Linked DNA regions of Macaca fascicularis. The main gene of each other region encodes a partner of the protein of the gene in region 2 in a complex. Links are inferred from orthologs where the notes say so. Each region holds a gene or a part of one and is shown on either strand. Other genes may lie near its edges.

Region 1 (3,756 bases), on a different chromosome or scaffold from region 2:
TGATTTCTTTGATCCAATAATACCTTATGAAAAGACATGAAGTTATATTTTTACTTCCCAATGGAAGACACCATTTTTAGTCATTATAAGATGTATTTATGAGAAGAAATCTGAGTATTACATGTGTAGAGGATTTGGGGGTAAAAGCACTATTAAAGTACCCACAATTTTAAAAATTCTAGCTTTTTCCAATCTAGAGCCTGTTAGAAGTACTGTGTTACATTGCTTCATTAAGTACAATGAGTAAAATAACAACCTAATTATTGTTGGCTACGAATCTGGCATAAAAGACCCTTATAAATCATATTTTAGTATTAAACTTGACATAATAAGAATGGTAGTTAATATTTACTAGTCATTTACTTTGTTTTGAGTACTGCGTTGGATTACCTTATTCCTTTCAACAGTCCTATGAAGCTAGTACTATTGTTTTTGTTTTATAGCCTATTAAGCTCATTAACTTAATGTTTTATAGCCTATTAACTTAAGGGGGTTATATAACTGCCTAGGACTTCACAGTAGTGATGAAAGTGGATTATGAGCCCTTACTCCAAGTTGTTTTTACCACTCATACATTTAATATAGATGAAGTGGTATTTGAAACAAAAAGTGAATCATGAAACTTCTTTTTAGTCAGTTTTCTTTATGGGTATATGTTCTTTTATTTCCTTTAGGTTCACAATATTCTTGCAGAAATGGTGATGGGGGGAATGGTATTGGAGACAAACATGAATGAGATTGTTACACAAATTGATGCACAAAATAAGCTGGAAAAATCTGAGGTAAGAATGGAAAATGCTATAGTTAAGAAAGGTTCTAAGCATGATGACAGATTACGCATGATTTGTAGCTTTCACTGTTTGTCCTTCAGTATCACCCTTTAGGTTCAGCCGTTATGCTCATTCAGTTTTTAAAAAATTGAATATACACATATTAGTATGCTAAAGGTTCTGTGACTATTATCTGCCAAACCGCTTTGTGTATTCTTCTTTTAGCCACAGTCATAGCTGCCTTGGGTAATAAGCACAATTCCAAATCTTATTGCTTAAAAGAATTATCTGAATAATGGAATCTAATATTTGCTTTGTAAAACATCAGTAATTATCAAGGAAGTCTTAGAACTAATATTTTAAAGATATATAAATTTTGTGTTACAAAACTACTTCTGGAAAGGGCAGGGACAGGAAATGGAATTCTTATAAGGAAGTAAGTAATGTTTCAAATTATAAATAAATGCCTAGCATGTTTGAGTTCACATTCAAAAAAGAAATTCAATACCTTAATCTTTTAATTCTAGATCTTTCCCTAAGATTTCACTGACAAGTTAGTTAAGTCACATATTTTAGACATTGGTACATAAATATCCGTGGTTTTTATTGCATTCTATAGGATTGGTTTGTTATACTTAGCTAACTTTCTGCTGTTAGATTCAACCTTAGATTGGATAAATGAGGAACAACCAGCACTTTAGCATTGTATAAAAACCCTACTTCAGAATTTTAGTGACTCTTCCCTCAAGCACTAGTCTGAATATCAGTAGCAGGTGCTGTAGCTGAGCCGCCCGGGTTCACATTATTTGGGTTGTTTATTACCCTAGCAGAGGTTTAGAAAGAGCAATAGTTTTATCACTTGAGGTCAGGAGTTCGAGACTGGCCTGGCCAACATGGTGAAACCCTGTCTCTACAAAAAAAAAAAAAAATTAGCTGGGCATGTAGAGCGCACCTGTAATCCCAGCTACTCGGGAGGCTGAGGCACAAGAATCACTTGAACCCTGGAGATGGAGGTTGCAGTGAGCCAAGATCACGTCGCTGCACTCCTGGGCAACAGAGTGAAACTTCATCTCAAAAAAAAAAAAAAGATCAATAATTTTTTGATATCTCATTCACCACCCAGCTGGTTTGAGGATACTCTTAAATTTGGTATTTGCAGTCATAACTCAGATTGGAAAAAACAAACTTTATTTATAATTATTAGTGTTAAGCTCAGATGTTCTGTTGATTTAAAGTAAATATTACTATGAAAACATCAAGGTATTAAAAATACACTGGCATTAATTTACAACAGGTGAGTTCTGAAAAATTTATCTTGTTGGCATTTTAAAGGATCAGTTTAACTCAATTCTGTGCCCATTTTAATTGAAGAAAACGCAGAATGAAGAATAAATTTGAAATCTAGAAACAGTTGAAGCTTTCTTATAAAAACATTTTCCAATGTTCTCTTTTAAATAAAATAGTATTGCATTTTTATCTCAATTTCCCATTCCTGTTGGTTTCCCAAAGGAGAAGTTTATAATGGTGATTTAGAGCTAAGATTCTCTTAAGTAACTATACATTTTGTTTGTCCTATAGCCAATTTTTAAAATATTGGCTTTTGAAAGTGGAAAACATAAATTAGGTTAATAGAGAAAATTTTGTTTTGGGACAAGGAAAAAGACTCATAATTTAATTTAGTATAACTGACTTGCAATATATTATTTAGTAAAGAAAAGGTTACTGTAAACCCTGAGCTATTGCTTTTAAAGTTTTAAAAGAACTTAAAATATGTGTCATTTGTTAAACATTGCTTTGCAAAACTGTATGGTTATAGATTTTAAATGCCAAGGGACAAACAGTTATGCAATCCTTTAATAACTGGTATAATGAATGAGTATCTAGTAATTTGTGAATTCTGTATAATCATCTATAAAAAGTATGACCAGTTGTCTGGAATTTTCACCTTTCCAGGTACTTAACTCCTTTCCATTGGTGGTGGTCCTTCTTTTTCTTCTGCTACTTAACACATTTATGCCTAGTGTTCCGTTATTGGAATGCTAAGCTTGTGGGAGTTATTTGTATCCTACTGTTCAGGGTCATCCCCAAGGTCTGATTTTTCACAAAAAAAAGTTTGCAACCTCTGACATAAATGGGTTAATGTGCTATATTGACGAAAGTCATGAAGGACCTATAATTATTGCATAATGGGTATTTGCTTTTTGATTGTTGAATAAAACTTCGTTAATGAGGCAATTTTTCTTATCTATAAAGAGCAGTAAAATGTAATTTACATTTCAATGGAAATAGTTATAAGAATACTATAACTTAAAATCCATTCACAGAAATAATGCTATTTAAAATAGTTTAGAATACTGGTGATTACTTCTATTTTTCATTCCCTGATCATCTTGCATCATACATAATTGTTAGCTCGTACCAAATTAGTTTCTCTTTTTTTGTCTTTTACAAGAAAGTATGTTTTAAGTTTGATTGGAGATAAACCACAAAATTATATATTTTCTATACATGTAATGTCTGCTAATATTTTAGTTATGAAATCGGATTTCAAATCAAAGTGAGGCCATTTAGTCCTGATCATCTTTTTAAAACAGCACTGAAAAGTATGATGACTAATTTTTCAGTAGCTTTCATATATTTTAAGTATGTTTGAACGACGTCTAGCTTTATTCCAGAAACATTGAAATGTCAAAAGCTTTCATATGTTTCATGTCCATGTTACTTCAATTGGTTAAATTTATCAGAGATATTACTCTGCAGAATAATCCAAAATTACTTGAAAGCAAAGTATAAACTTTTACTAATCTTCTTACTAAATTTCAGTTAAAATTTATTATATAAGCATAAACTTAAAAGACTTGTTTGGCTGGGCGCAGTGGCTCACACCTGTAATCTCAGCACTTTGGGAGGCCAAAGCAAGCAGATCACCTGAGGTCAGGAGTTTGAGACCAGCCTGGCAAACATGGTGAAACCCCGTCTCTACTAA
Region 2 (4,270 bases):
AGTCTTGCTCTGTTGCCCAGGGTACAGTGCAGTGGCACTATCTCAGCTCACTACAACCTCCGCCTCCTGGGTTCATGAGATACTTCTGCCTCAGCTTCCCAAGTAGCTGGGATTACAGGCACATGCCACCACGCCCAGCTAATTTTTGTATTTTTAGTAGAGATGGGGTTTCACTATATTGGCCAGGCTAGTCTCAAACTCTTGACCTCATTATCCACCCGCCTTGGCCTCCCAAAGTGCTGGGATTACAGGTGTGAGCTGCCGCGCCTGGCCCATCTTACCCCAGTTTTTATTGCTGATACTTTCTCTCTTTTTTTTTAGACGGAGTCTTGCTCTGTTGCCAGGCTGGAGTGCAGTGGCGCCATCTTGGCTAACCGCAACCTCCGCCTTCCGGGTTGAAGCGATTCTCCTGTCTCAGCCGCCCAAGTAGCTGAGATTACAGGTGCCCACCATCACAGCCAGCTAATTTTTGTATTTTTAGTAGAGACGGGGTTTCACCATGTTGGCCTGGCTGGTCTCGAACTCCTGACCTCAAGTGATCTTCCCGCTTTGGCCTCTCAAAGTGCTGGGATGACAGGCATGAGCCACCGCGCCTGGCCGAGCTTAAAGTTTTTTTTTACAATCTCAGTGATGTATCTCGGAGGGCAGGGACTCAGTATATCTCATTTACTGCTGCATGCCCAGCGCCCCTTACCATGCCTGGCACACAGTGGGCCCTCGACAAATGTTTATTGAATGAATGACAATGTCGTAGTCTTGTCTCTGGCCTCATTTTCTTCCTGTGGGCATGTTAATCTCTGTCTTGCCCATTTCACAGGATGTTGTGAGGCTGCAGGAACCACAGGACCCGTTCCCCCACCCGCCCAGGCGTTGGGTTTGGAGGCTCTCAGGACGCGTCAGCTTTTACATTCAGGAAAGGCGGAGCTCCAGTCTTCCCCGAGAACTTGCCGGCTAAGCTCCACGTGGGCACCCCGCCCACATCCAGCCACGCCCACACCCGTCAGCTGATGGGAGGGTCAGGACCAGACTCTAAGGGCGTGGCTAGAGCCCAGAACGAGGAAGAAGGCGGAGTTCCGGAGGTCACTGACCAATGAAAGCGCAGGTCTTTTGGCCGGAAAAGGCGGGGCCGCGAGCCGGAGAAGGTGGTGCCACATTTCCATTGGGATACCTGTCGTCGTCAGGGAAATGAAGCGTCTCCCCGCCAGGGAGGTGAAGGGGCGGGGCTTCCTGGGAGGTGGGGCTTCTGAGGCCGGCTCGGCTGGGACCGGGCGCTCACGGTCAGCTGACCGGCCGCCATCTTGTCCGCCATTTGCAAGTGGCCCGGAGCAAGATCGCGGCACCTGCCGAGCGGGTTGCCACCTCTGCGGCGGTCCTTGGACCCCGCCGCCGCCCTGGCCTGGGAGCCTGCCCCGCCGCAGCGGCCGGCAGCGCAGCGCTCCGCGGGCGGCAGGCGCGGACCCCAGGCCCCCTCACGGCGCCCAGCCGCGGGCCTCCCGGGGCAAAAGCCCGTGGGCCGCCGCGATGGCCCTCAAGATGGTGAAGGGCAGCATCGACCGCATGTTCGACAAGAATCTGCAGGACTTGGTCCGCGGCATCCGTAACCACAAGGAGGACGAGGTGAGCCTGGCGCGCCAAGGGGCGGCTCGGCCTGGTCACCGCCCCAGCCCCGGGCCCAGCGCTGCTCACTGGGCCTGCTCGGCCCGGGCTCTGTCTTAGTTCGAGGTCCCGCTCTCGGCCTCGGCCCTGCCTGGCCTGGGCCTGGGGCGCCGCCCTCGTCTTCGGTCCCTCAGCCTCAGTTTACCCCCGAGGGGCGAAGGCCTTAGAGCAGCACGTCTAGGGTCCTCGCCTCATCGGATCACCACGGGGAAGCGCTGTTCAAAATGCAATGCTCTGAGCCCCGCCGATGCGTGCTCTCCCCCTGGACCCTCAGTTTACTCGCTCAGAGGGAGATTCGGGCCCACCTCCCGCTTGGCTCGGGTGACCCTCCCAGGAGACTTCCGAGGTCCTTGGACAGAGTTTCTCCAACGTGAGTGTGTTTCCGAATCACCGATTAAAAATGCAGGAGCCCGGGCCCCGCCCCCGGACCCTCCCTGGGAGACCGGGGCAGGGGGTCCTGGGCCGCCCCTGGAGAAACTCCTTCCTTCTGGGTAGTGTAAATGCGTGTCCAGGTTGCTGCCTGGGGCCTGGCTCGGAACCGGGCAGGGTCTTGGGGCCTTGCCTCCAGTGCCCCGGTTCCCAGGAAGGCGAGGCTGCTGCTGGGAAGGAGGGAGGACAGCGGCATCCTAAGCCCGAGTGAGGTAGCAGCCTGGGGGAACCTGGAATGGGGAAGCTAACTTCAAGTAGGAACCTGAAAGCCAGCGCGAGGAAACGGTTTTCCAGAAGTAAAATTACAACTATGGGGATCGTTTCCTTCCCGCTTCTCCCCTCCCCCAACCTGTGACCTAGATTGAAAAAGAATGGGCACAGTGGCCAGCAAGCGTCTTGCTTCCTTGAAGGATACCCATGCAGCCCTTGGGCAGTGGGAGCCTTAGAAAGTGTCCTACCTGAGGACTGCCTGTCTGCTTCCCTGCGTGGACAGCAAGGCCGGCCTGAAGGAGATCCGCCTCTGATACCGCACCAGTCCCAGTGCCAGAGGCTGTGTCCCGGACGAGGTGCCCAGGAGGGCAGGGAAGTGAAGGGGTTTGCTTGCAGGCTCTGTGTCCCTCAGCCCATTGCCCCTCTCCCTGGGAACCTGAGCTCTTGCCGGATTGTTACACCTTTACACTTTTCTGGAAGTGGTGTGGCTTCGCCTGCCCCCACCTTAATGAGGTCATTTTTGTTCTTCTCCACCCCCCTTACCTTCGGCCTCCTTGGTTTTCATCATCTCAGAAGCTCTGCCTAACTGCTTTGGTTACAATGTGTAACTAACTGGAGTAATGTTCAGATTCTTTGTGAGTTGAAAGCGTGGCTGATGGGCCTGCTTTTACTGTACTGAGCGTGGTTCACCAGATTGGAAATGTGCTTTGCTTCCCGAGAGGCCTTTTTCTGCACAGGCAGGATCTCCCAGTGCCCGTCCCTGTCCCTGTCAGCACATGTCACTGAGCAGCCTGTTCTGGAATCCTGAGGATGGGCCGGGGGGGTTTGTCCAGTGGAGGACCACACCTCTAGTCTGGGGCGTGGTTTTCAGGGGGATGTGCCTGTCTTCACTGGGAAGCTCCTGAGCCTGGGTTTCTTCCTTTGGAATTGGTGTGAGTTCATAGCGCTTTCCCTATAAGCATGGGCCCCTTCAAGGGGGTATTGGTGGTGGAAACATTTTTTTTTTTTTTTTTTTTTTGAGAAAGAGTTTTGCTCTTGTTGCCCAGGCCGGAGTGCAAAGGCATGATCTTGGCTCACTGCAACCTTTGCCTCCCAGGTTCAAGCAATTCTCCTGCCCCAGCCTCCTGAGTAGCTGGGATTACAGGCATACGCCACCACGCCCAGCTATTTTTTTTTTTTTGTATCTTTAGTAGAGAGGGGGTTTCACCATGTTGGTCCGGCTGGTCTCTAACTCCTGACCTCAGGTGATCCGCCCGCCTCAGCCTCCCAAAGTGTTAGGATTACAGGTGTGAGCCACTGCATCCGGCTGGGAAACAATTTTAAACGGCGCAGCGCGTCCTTGAAAGTCCCAGACTTCCTCATGGGCCCTGCCGTTGGCCAGTGGGTGATTTCAGACAGGACGTGTGGTGTCTGGGGACCCGGCTTTCTCGCCAGAAGACCGTTGTTGTGGCCCAGAGGGTCGTAACTCAGCTGTTCATGTCTGATTCTGGATGTTGTCTGCAGCTGCTGGAGTCTCCTGATTGGAGAGCAGCAAATGACTGTTCAGTGACGGTTCTAGCCGTCCCCCCAGCACCCGCACTCACTCTGAAAACGCAGCTACCCTGTAGACCGTATGTTGTGGGCTCTTCCCTCCCACCCACCGCGCCCGGAACGAAGACTCTAGATGGTGTGCGTTTTCTGCGGCAGTATAGTTTCCAAAAACAGTTTCCATTTCGTAATGGATTTTCCCCTAAAACTTGAGCGTGGCATCATGGAAGCGAGGCTCAGCCGTGACTTTGAAAGCGGCGTGGAAAGGCAGCGCGATGGAGTGGAAATGGCGTGAGGTTTGGGAAATCCGAGTCCAGGTGCTTGGCTGAGTGGCTGACTTCCTGGGGCGGCCCATGGAGAGCCCCCTGCTCTGTCTCCTTCTGTGTAAGTGGGGATGACGGTCACCTGCCTCCTTGCTGAATGACGCTGAGGATGCTGCAGTGAAACG

What was found. Proteins that work in one complex are often made in the same cells at the same time.
Region 1: the proteins of AP3D1 (region 2) and AP3S1 are in contact, whole or in part, in a cryo-EM structure (PDB 9C5C), measured with the Homo sapiens proteins. The link is inferred for Macaca fascicularis from reciprocal best matches to the Homo sapiens genes AP3D1 and AP3S1. Residues at the interface, in NP_003929.4 of Homo sapiens: Leu18, Gln19, Val22, Arg26, Cys60, Thr63, Tyr64, Gln66, Met67, Leu68, Gly69, Tyr70, Asp71, Ile72, Ser73, Lys87, Phe88, Thr89, Arg92, Ile93, Leu96, Gln100, His103, Tyr126, Leu132, Thr133, Ser136, Tyr161, Lys164, Lys165; in NP_001275.1 of Homo sapiens: Met1, Lys13, Pro14, Arg15, Leu16, Ser17, Lys18, Phe19, Pro22, Tyr23, Glu25, Asp26, Gln28, Gln29, Arg42, Asp43, Glu44, Asn45, Val46, Cys47, Asn48, Phe49, Ser80, Glu81, Ser82, Glu83, Leu84, Gly85, Leu87, Asp88.

The regions. Positions count from the first base shown.
Region 1 is NC_088380.1:122,490,491-122,494,246, forward strand, and holds part of AP3S1 (AP-3 complex subunit sigma-1), read left to right. Parts: intron 1-674; coding exon 675-782; intron 783-3,756. UniProt on the Homo sapiens protein: Part of the AP-3 complex, an adaptor-related complex which is not clathrin-associated. The complex is associated with the Golgi region as well as more peripheral structures.
Region 2 is NC_088393.1:2,798,390-2,802,659, reverse strand, and holds the start of AP3D1 (AP-3 complex subunit delta-1), read left to right. Parts: upstream 1-1,300; 5' UTR 1,301-1,521; coding exon 1,522-1,617; exon of another isoform or gene 1,618-2,026; intron 2,027-4,270. UniProt on the Homo sapiens protein: Part of the AP-3 complex, an adaptor-related complex which is not clathrin-associated. The complex is associated with the Golgi region as well as more peripheral structures.